Oryzias latipes: one gene and its partner. The protein of the gene in region 1 binds, or shares a complex with, the protein of each later gene. Links are inferred from orthologs where the notes say so. Each region holds a gene or a part of one and is shown on either strand. Other genes may lie near its edges.

The links.
Region 2: the proteins of stx12 (region 1) and vti1a are in contact, whole or in part, in a crystal structure (PDB 2NPS), measured with the Rattus norvegicus proteins. The link is inferred for Oryzias latipes from reciprocal best matches to the Homo sapiens genes STX12 and VTI1A. Residues at the interface, in NP_075228.2 of Rattus norvegicus: Glu185, Ile188, Gln189, Leu191, Glu192, Ile195, Leu196, Val198, Asn199, Phe202, Lys203, Leu205, Ala206, Ile209, His210, Gly213, Ile216, Asp217, Glu220, Val223, Glu224, Ser226, Glu227, Val230, Glu231, Ala233, Ser234, Asp235, Leu237, Gln238; in XP_038945999.1 of Rattus norvegicus: Arg131, Arg134, Ser135, Arg138, Leu139, Ala141, Gly142, Ile145, Ala146, Glu148, Thr149, Ile152, Gly153, Met156, Asn159, Leu160, Asp163, Arg166, Arg169, Ala170, Arg173, Leu174, Glu176, Thr177, Asn180, Leu181, Lys183, Ser184, Ile187, Leu188.

The regions. Positions count from the first base shown.
Region 1 is NC_019869.2:17,750,601-17,755,214, forward strand, and holds the start of stx12 (syntaxin-12), read right to left. Parts: upstream 3,069-4,614; 5' UTR 2,953-3,068; exon of another isoform or gene 2,936-2,952; intron 2,390-2,935; 5' UTR 2,351-2,389; coding exon 2,254-2,350; intron 1,809-2,253; coding exon 1,739-1,808; intron 940-1,738; coding exon 840-939; intron 381-839; coding exon 243-380; intron 1-242. UniProt on the Homo sapiens protein: SNARE promoting fusion of transport vesicles with target membranes. Together with SNARE STX6, promotes movement of vesicles from endosomes to the cell membrane, and may therefore function in the endocytic recycling pathway.
Region 2 is NC_019877.2:9,985,408-9,989,996, forward strand, and holds the start of vti1a (vesicle transport through interaction with t-SNAREs homolog 1A), read right to left. Parts: upstream 3,026-4,589; 5' UTR 2,922-3,025; coding exon 2,828-2,921; intron 1-2,827. Other genes in the region: palmitoyltransferase ZDHHC6, read left to right, coding at 4,194-4,460. UniProt on the Homo sapiens protein: V-SNARE that mediates vesicle transport pathways through interactions with t-SNAREs on the target membrane. These interactions are proposed to mediate aspects of the specificity of vesicle trafficking and to promote fusion of the lipid bilayers.

The DNA of each region.
Region 1 (4,614 bases):
CTCTGATAAAACAAGATTTTTCTACCTTTCATGACTTCAAATAGTCACAATAATACACAACTGGATTTGGATTAGATGAATCATCAGATAAGTTATGGGACTTTTCAAAATAGGACAATTAAAATCCTAAGTAGGAGAAAAAATGCTGATGATTAACAGGTAAAAGGAAAAATAAGGAATATTGTGGTTGTTTTCCACACTTTTCCTGGTGTTGTGTGAATCCATTCCTGAGTCTCACTCACTGAGAGGCGGGATCCCGCTCTGGCTCTGGCTATGGACTCCCGCTCTTTCTCGGCTGCGTGTCGCTGAACCGCCTGGAAGTTGTTGAGCGCCGCAGAGAAATCACTCATGAGCCGGTCTCTCTGAATCTTCTGCTGCCTCTGGACAGAGCAGAGCACCCAAAGCACATTAGGAGACACTTTTTAAAAAAGCATTTAGATAACGGTTAAGATTTTAAAGTTCAATCCTGACAATCACTTTCCAACATTCAAGCAGCAACATTGTAACTTAACTCCTATTTTTTCCTAAAGATTTTCAGGAAAAATCCCTGCTTCCTCTGTATCGTTTATACATAAACTCGGCTTTCATCTCCTGCTTAAAATTTACAAAACAAAAAATTAGCAAATCTCAACTACAAGAATCGCCTTCTTTTACTAATATCTGATCACTTCAGAGGTCACAACAGCAAACCATCTCCCTCCAGTTAAACCTTTCTGCTGCAAAAATACTTTGAAGTACTGCTGCACACCGTGTTTGGAATACTGCAGTCAGGGGAGACAGTTTTGGTAAAAACTCAGGATTTGGTCTTCATGCAGACGTTTCAACAAACTCCCACTTACCTGTTCAGAGGGGGATAGAGGCGCAGGGACAGAGCCTAGTTCTTTAAGGTGTTTGTTGGTTTCCTTCGCAAGCTGGTTAGTGTAGTGCTGGATCTGCTGCCTGCAGAGAAAACTGTGCATCAATAAAAACAGGACTGAACATCAGCCACAAGAAGAAGCTGCTTCCCAGATTCAGGCTATTACAGTCCCAGCCATTCTGCTCCACACTAAAGCACACTCAATGTGTAATGCACTACTGTTAATGCATCTGTAAATTGCTTTTATTGTCAATTCAATTCAAATAAAGCTTGAAATTTTTAATTTTCTTAGTATTTTTTTTTAAATCAAATAATAGAGCTTTTCTACCAGCTCTGAAATAAATCAAAATTTTAAAATTCTTTGCAAAGTGAAAACACGCCATCAAAAAGTGTGACACATTCATTTAGTCGCAGAAGACAAAAGAGATTATTGAAGTTTACTCCACAACCACCAGCAACAGTCATTTAACCTCTTCCTGGTCTCACAGCATCACTTAAATGTGCAAAGCAGGAGGACTCCTGGGTCAGTAGATGTAGGTTTTGTAGCTGAAACCAAATTTTGTCACCAAAAAGCCTGAATTATAACAATTTTAAAGGTTTTACTTCTCAATACATATGATTAACAACAGTGTGTGCAAGAAATGCATGTAAAGCAAACTGGCTGTGTTAGTTTTTTTTTTCATATTGTCTTAAACATAAGTCAGGGTGCCTTATTGAATAATTGCATCAGTGTTGGTCTCATATTCAGCCTCATTAGGAGGTTATTACCAACAAAGATAACACTGATATTTGCATCAGATGTTAACCAGCTAGAAAACCTCCATCTGCCTGTGTTTTCATTAAAACTGGTAGAAAAAAATGAAACAAGAAATGATGACATACAGACGATCGTGAAGTTCACTGGAGTCTTGCCTTGTCCCTTGCTGGTTCACCATGGTCTTAATCTGTGCGGCTGTCAGGAAAACAGAAACAATCTTAATCTCCAAAACCTTTACTCAGGGATCATCTGTGTGCACAGATATCAAACAACAACACAGAAAAAAACACAAAAACCAATCCAAACCGCAGAAGCAAACGAGCTAAGAAATAGTTTAGTGTCCATTCTTGTATAGACAGCAGAAAATGCAACTTAATTTGTGAGTTTTGTACCAAAGAATGTAAGCACTTATTTACTGTACACATCTCAAAAAGGAAGCAAACCTGAACATTTAGAATAGTGTATTTTCCTGAAGCACTTGTGATGAATTAGCCATGTGATTGCTTAACCTGGATCTCCCCCCCTGAACAGGCCTGAGTTAAGCAGCAGATCATCACGATTCTTGTAAGCATTCTCACATGACTTCTTCCTGAGCCAGTGACTAACAATGAGTCTCAGCTCCCAGCAATGGAGGACTCACTGTTCTGTGTGATCTTCTGGATGTTGGAGCTGCATGTCTGAATAAGGGAGCCAAAGTCCCTCGGGACAGGGCGGAACTCCGCTTTACCGTAGGACATGTTTGAGGCGGAAGGCTTGGCTTTGATGTTGAGCTAAAACTGTGCATGCAAAAAAAGAAAAGGAAATTTGAAAAAGGCCACAAACTGTTATTTAACATGAATAATTCAATCTAAAACTCCAAATGTAGGTCGGAGGGAGAATGCAATCACGCTTCAAAACTTACTAAAACGCACAGACTAAAAAGCTGACATTTATTAAAATCATCACACAAAATTATAATACAGACTAGTAAAGTATATACAGAACTGTTAGGATTTCGCTGCTTTTTTTTTTTGACATGACGCACACCATAAGACCCGTACGCTTATTTAACTAACCAGCAGATGTTGACTTATAGACAAACATGAAGCCGCAACGTTAACATATTGATAGTATAACCACAACAATGTTACCAGAGCGACGTTCTGCTAACGGAATTTTACATCACAGAGTGACATTCCCAACAACACGTAGCGGAACGATGCTAACGTGTTAGCTAAACGTGCTAACTTCTAAGCGTTAGATTATAAACGATGAAATCGTTGCGTTGCATATTTAAAATAGCGTTTAATCGACATTTGAAACTACGAAACAAGGTAACTGACGTTTATTTTATACTTGCATATGATTCAGCTGAAGAAACAAATTCTCGCCCTTCGATCAGGGCTTGGTTCCGGATTCAGCTGAGATCACCGAGCCCTACTTCCTCTGACAACCAATCAGGTCACGCATTTGAAACCAAACCACCAATCAAAACGCTGTAGCGTGCCCGGGTCCAGTGAGCCACCAATCAAAACTGAGCATTCGACTTCCTGGTATGTGACATTTCGGTATGACGTTGTTTTTTGTTGTTTTGTTTTTTTTAAATGCTCATACAGACCAAGTAAGGGTGAACAAACGTTATAAATGCGCATATAGAAAAAAAAGAAATTCCCGGGTCCAGATTTTTCATATAGAAAAGAACATCAGATAAGGAAAAAAAGGGAATATTTAAAACTTTGAGTGACAACCAACTGTGAATATCAGTCCAAAATATTTTTGCAACTGTAAAAGAGATGTTCTACGTTTCAGTTTCAGATGAACAGAATATGCGTGGTTCTGATTGAAATTTGAATCTTTTATGTAAAAAATCTCCAACAGGGTAAATTTTAGATATTATTTTAAAATGCGTTTCTTTCATTTTAGGTGGAAGTGGGTACTTTGTGTATAAAGAAAAAGATTTGTCCATTAGGGTGGTTTCTAAGTCGCGTTCATTGTTTATGCTAAAGTTGCAGAAAATTATTTGTTTAAAGGTTAGAGTTTATTGTTGCCTTTTTTATCTTTTAGGGGAATATCATTAACTTTTCCATTAATTCTGGAAATTGTGGTTTGATTGCATTGTATTGTAATATGTTATGAATAAGATTAAGTAAAGGTATGGTAATTGCTTAACAGACTTTGCTATAACAGTTACTAGAATCCTTAATTTTGTATTTAGTTACAAACCCATTGTATGATAACAGCATTCCATCAGTACGCATCAAGTCATAGACAAAACACACACCATTATTCAGAAATAAACAAGGATTTATTGTTTACAGTTATAAATCTGCCGCCACCAGTGTGTGAATGGGTCTGTGTTTGTAAACCGCTTTGGGCCTTGTAGGTAGAAAAGCGCTATATACTGTAAGTGTACGCCATTTACACCATAACTGCGGGGTTGAAGATGCTGCAAGGGAAAACATACATGGAGTGCCATTATCAAGTGGCTGGAATAATATACAGAAACACGTGTGCAGAATATGAACTGGAAACCTCAAAGTCAAAAAGAGAAACACCTCTGAAGGTGATAGAGAATGAAAGGGCAAAGATCCTGTGGGACTTCCAGATACTGACTGACAGGATGGTAATGGCGAACCAACCAGACATTGTAGTGGTGGATAAAGAACAGAGGAAAGCCGTTGTGGTGGATGTGGCAGTGCCAAGTGATGGGAACATCAGGAAGAAGGAACATGAGAAACTGGAGAAATACCAGAGACTCAGAGAAGAACTGGAGAAAGCCTGGAAAGTGAAGGTGACAGTGGTGCCTGTGGTAATAGACCTTTTTCACACTTCCGCATTTTTCGACCGGAAATACGTCAATGACGTGTAAAACAACTTCCTGTTAGCGTAGCAGCAGATATGAAGAATGGCAGAGTCGAAGAGTTGCAGTCTCTGTTGCGTTCCAGGCTGTTCGTCTTCCTACCAAAAACAGCCTTACTTTTCATTTCATTATTTTCCTGTGGATCCAAACCTGAAACCCAAA
Region 2 (4,589 bases), on another chromosome or scaffold:
GTTTCAAATCTCTGCTGGATTTGACACGTTAAACATCATGAAGCCAACATGTCTGTAGAAAGGCAGCATATGTTTTTGTGGTGGGTGACCGGCAAAAGGTTGCTTCTGGCAATGCCAAACCTCCAGTAGTGAGTTCCCGGCAGGCATACAAATACTCTTCAAAATACGCATGACTCTTCAAAGATATCACATCCAAACCAGAACATCTGTGTCATTATCAATTATAGGATTTTCTAGAAAAACAAATAATTAACTATGTCCTAGTTTGTTTTAGACAGTTTAAAGTGAGTCGTGTGACCCCTCCACAGTAGATCTGATTCTCCTGATTCACATTTAAAAGTCTGGGACAAATCTAGGTCAGAAACGGACAGTGATTTTAAACGTGATAGCTAAATTCGCTTTGTATAGCTTCTTTTCTTTAAGGTAGCTGGTGAAGGTGACGCTGTTTATCAAGACTACACTTTCAGACAGTAATCCATGCTTTCATCAGAAACTAAAATGGATTACTGTAACTTTCAGAGTCAGCCTCTTGTCCCTTCCGCTTCTTTAAGTGGTCCAGAACACTAAAGAGGGACCACGTCGCCCCAATTGGAGCTTTCCTTCACTGGCTGCCAGTGCATTTTGGACGTTAACTTTAAGATTCTTCCGTTTCATTTAATTTTTTTTAATTAACCGTGCCTCTTTGAGCCTGTCTCTCCCTTCATGCCAGTCAGTGCCTCATGGCAGCTGACTGGGTTCTGATTAGAGTACAAAAGTTCAAGAGAAAGTTAAAGGAGGAATGGGCTTTTTCAGTCTGTGCACCAAAGGTGAGGAATGCCTCGCTAAGCGTCCTCACAGTCTATTTATAAAAAGCTTCTGAAAACTTTTATTGCCAGGCTTTTGCCCATTAGACGCTGCTCTGTTGGTGTGTTTTATTTTGACTGTGTTTTTATTTTCCAATATTATAAATATTTTACTATTTAACTTTTAAATTGTGTTATCATTTAAACTGTTGTTTTAATGTGTTGAGTTTCAATGAATAGCTCCTTGTTTTATACGGTCATAGTAAGACGCCATATAAATAAACTGACCGGTCTATTGCTATTACGCATTTAACCAGCAGTACATTGTTTCACATGTTCAGGTGAATTTTTTTAAGTTTTTTTTTTAGTTCTGTTAGATTTTTTACAATTAAAGACTTAAATTTGTATTCATTCATGTCTTTTATAATAATAATAATAATTCATTAGATTTATCTGTGCTTTTTCTTGGTGCTCAAAGCGCTAACAATTTGTCCATTATTCATTCACTCTTCATTCATACTTAATCATTCTTATAATATACTATATGCTACTTATCTGAAATCTGCTCACACTATTTTGTGACAGTTACAATATGAACTGCATATTATTCCGTATAGGCTGCAATATAAGTGTTTCAGTGAGGTGATCCATATAACTGCCGTAGTAATGCTTTCTTATACAAACAAAGCAAAGTGCCATAAATAAAGTGACAAATACAATATGGTCTTACTGTGAAACACAAATTGTGACCAACACATGTCCTCCTCGTGCTTTGACATAATAAAGATGTGCAACTAATTTAAAATATGCTGTAGAAATGTCTTCATCTTCATGGATATGCAGGGACATATGTGACAAAGAAGTGTTTAAAGTGAGATAAATATGTACAGTGTCTCTTTTATTGCTTACCATGACAGTGCAGTTCATATTTTTTAAGTAAATAATATGATTAGGTTCAGACTTCCAACACTATATGGTTTGATTGTTTTATGTGAACTAACTGAGGCATGTGTACAATATAATCATTGTCTTTTTGCATCATATCCCACTGGGATTAAAAACCTTATGACATATCACAACAACTTGATTTGCTAAGGGTATTGGTTTGCAGTTAAATCCTCAAAATTATCGTGAAAAGGTTTTCATTTACTACAGTAAGTTAACAGAAGTTAAGCAATAGTTGGGAAAGAAAAACTAAATGCATAAATAAGAAATAGAGGCTTAAGAAGAATTGATAGAAGTGCTTTCAAACATTGGATGTAAAAGTCTAAAATGGTGACTATTTGATGGTAGTAGACCACTAAATATTATTAAAATGCACGTTCCACTTTGGATCTTTTGTTTTCATTTGAACACATATGCTCTCTTGTTATGTTAGTGACATTTTTAGTAGTGTTGAAACCCATTCTCAAATTAGTGGAGTAAATACCCTGGGATATAAATTAAACTGAGTACTTTAAATAGGAAAGTACATATGTTTCTAGTCAATTAAATGAAGCTTAAGTACACAATTATTGATGATGTTAAATTTTAAAAGTGTTTAAGATGTTAGAATAGTAAAAGAGAATAGAGATTATCACAGTTCTAATACTATTATGTAAGTTGACAGAAAACAGGCAGCAGCTATGATGGGTTAGGAGTTTCTTGCCATCTGTAGAATCTAGAAGTATTTTTCTTAAATATTTTAATACTTTAAAACCAGTTGCTTAAAGCTAAAGAACAACTTTGGTTTTAAATTATAATCTTAAAATCTATAATATAAATTTGACATAATGTTTCTATTTGACACTGGCCTCTACCATTAATTTATTATAACCACAGGTAGTCGGTCACTTGTTTTTGTTCCTACAGAAAGAGCACAGTAACTGAGTCACACGGCGAATATAAACGTGTAAATGTATCAACATAATATATTTATAACGATTTCAAACAAGTTAGAGTTAACAATTAAAGCTACACCTTCTACTAGAACTGAGGCTTTCTTGCTACTACTAGCTAGCCTGCCAGCTCATCATTAATTGACGCTAAAATGGTAAAAGTCTTACCTCCACTTAGTTTGGGAATTCTGCCGATTTTATTTGTTAACTCGGCTGTAGTCGTTCCAAAGTCCTGCTCGTAGGATTCAAAGTCTGAAGACATTTTGACCAGTACGTTTAGGTAGCAAAGTAGCTCTAGGGCTGACAGTTAGCTCAAAATAATAACAAGCTTCTTCCTTGAGTCACACTAAAAGGTGTCCGGCTAGGAACTGGGTGTTCTGTTGGCGCTACTACTGAGAGAGGGTTTCGGAAAACTATCACGCCTATCTCTTTGTTGTGTTATTTAACAAAACATATATTTTTTCATTTTGTTTTAAATTTGATCTGACTGTTTGTAGTTGACGGATTTTCAATCCGAGACGCAACTAGGAAGGTTCTCAGGGCACATAGGGGAGGAAAACAAAAATCCGAAGTGCAAGTGGTAAGGTTAAACTAATTTAAAGTGACAGCTTATTTACTGAAACACTATTCAATGTGTTTATTTCTACGTAGCTTTACGTTCGTGTGTCATGTTTGATTCATCTTTCTTTTTTCGAGTTTGAAATGGTTTTCCTGTCAGTGCTGGTAGTGGAAGATGGTGAACGAGCTAGCTAACTAACCAACCTCACTTCTTCGCTACCTGCTGCATGCATCTACTCTTAAGCCGAAACATGTTTATCTAAACAGCCAAGCTAATTACAATTTTGCAAGATGTTAGTATGAATGTATGAATTCCTGATACATAGAGAAACTTGTTGGAATTAGCTTAAAATGTTGTTTTGAATTTGCTAGCTAAGCTTGACTTGACAAGCTAATTAGTTGTGCATGGAGTTTCTTCTTCTTTCATTCAAAGCTTCACCCTTCCAATATCTCTGTTTTTAAAAAACAATAAAACGTAATTAATTTGACCATTAAAAGTGTTTTCATTATAGTTATGTCGTTCTTTAGAATATATAGATTTCTATATAAAGATAGGAGTCAATATGTGACCCACAACTACCTGTTTTCCAGATAAATAGCACCTATTTTGCATATATAAAGAGGAAATATAGCCTTTTCTTTTAGCACTCTATGATAAATGCTTGTCCCCTTTTTTTCTCTCTTTCTCTCCATCAGATGGGTAAACGGACTCTCACAAGGTTCCTGTGCTTCAGGATTTGAGAGGGGAGCATGCTGCGCTCTTCAAGGGCAAGACACACCGGGACACGGAAAGGCCGGGTGACCACAGACCAGGGATGTAGTTGGATTCTTGAAAGATGAAAATAAAAATGTGTGCACTGCTGACTTTGCAAGATATAAGAAACAAGTAGCACACTCAGGCAGAGTCCAAACATTTCAGGTCCCCAACAAAAAAAAAAAAAAAAGAACATTTTCTTAAGCTTCCAGTGGGACGAATATGAATTTCCTTTCAGCGTTAGTTCGATTCGAGAACCTCCATGAGGTTCGAAGATTGTGCCACTGGGGCCCAATCATAGCCCTCTCTGTCATTGCTATATGTTCAACCATGGCAATCATAGACTCAGTCATCTGGTACTGGCCTCTAGACACCACTGCAGGCAGCATTAACTTCCTCATGCTCTTAAACTGGACTGTTCTTATCCTTTACAACTACTTCAACGCCATGTTTGTTGGGCCTGGATATATTCCTCTTGGCTGGAAACCAGTAAGAGTTTTGCTTCTTTTCACTGATGACTGTTTGAGTTCACAGTATATTGATACTAAAAACAATGAAACCATTCGAATCCACTAAAGGTACATCAGGCACCTTACCTATTATTTGCATTCCTGAACA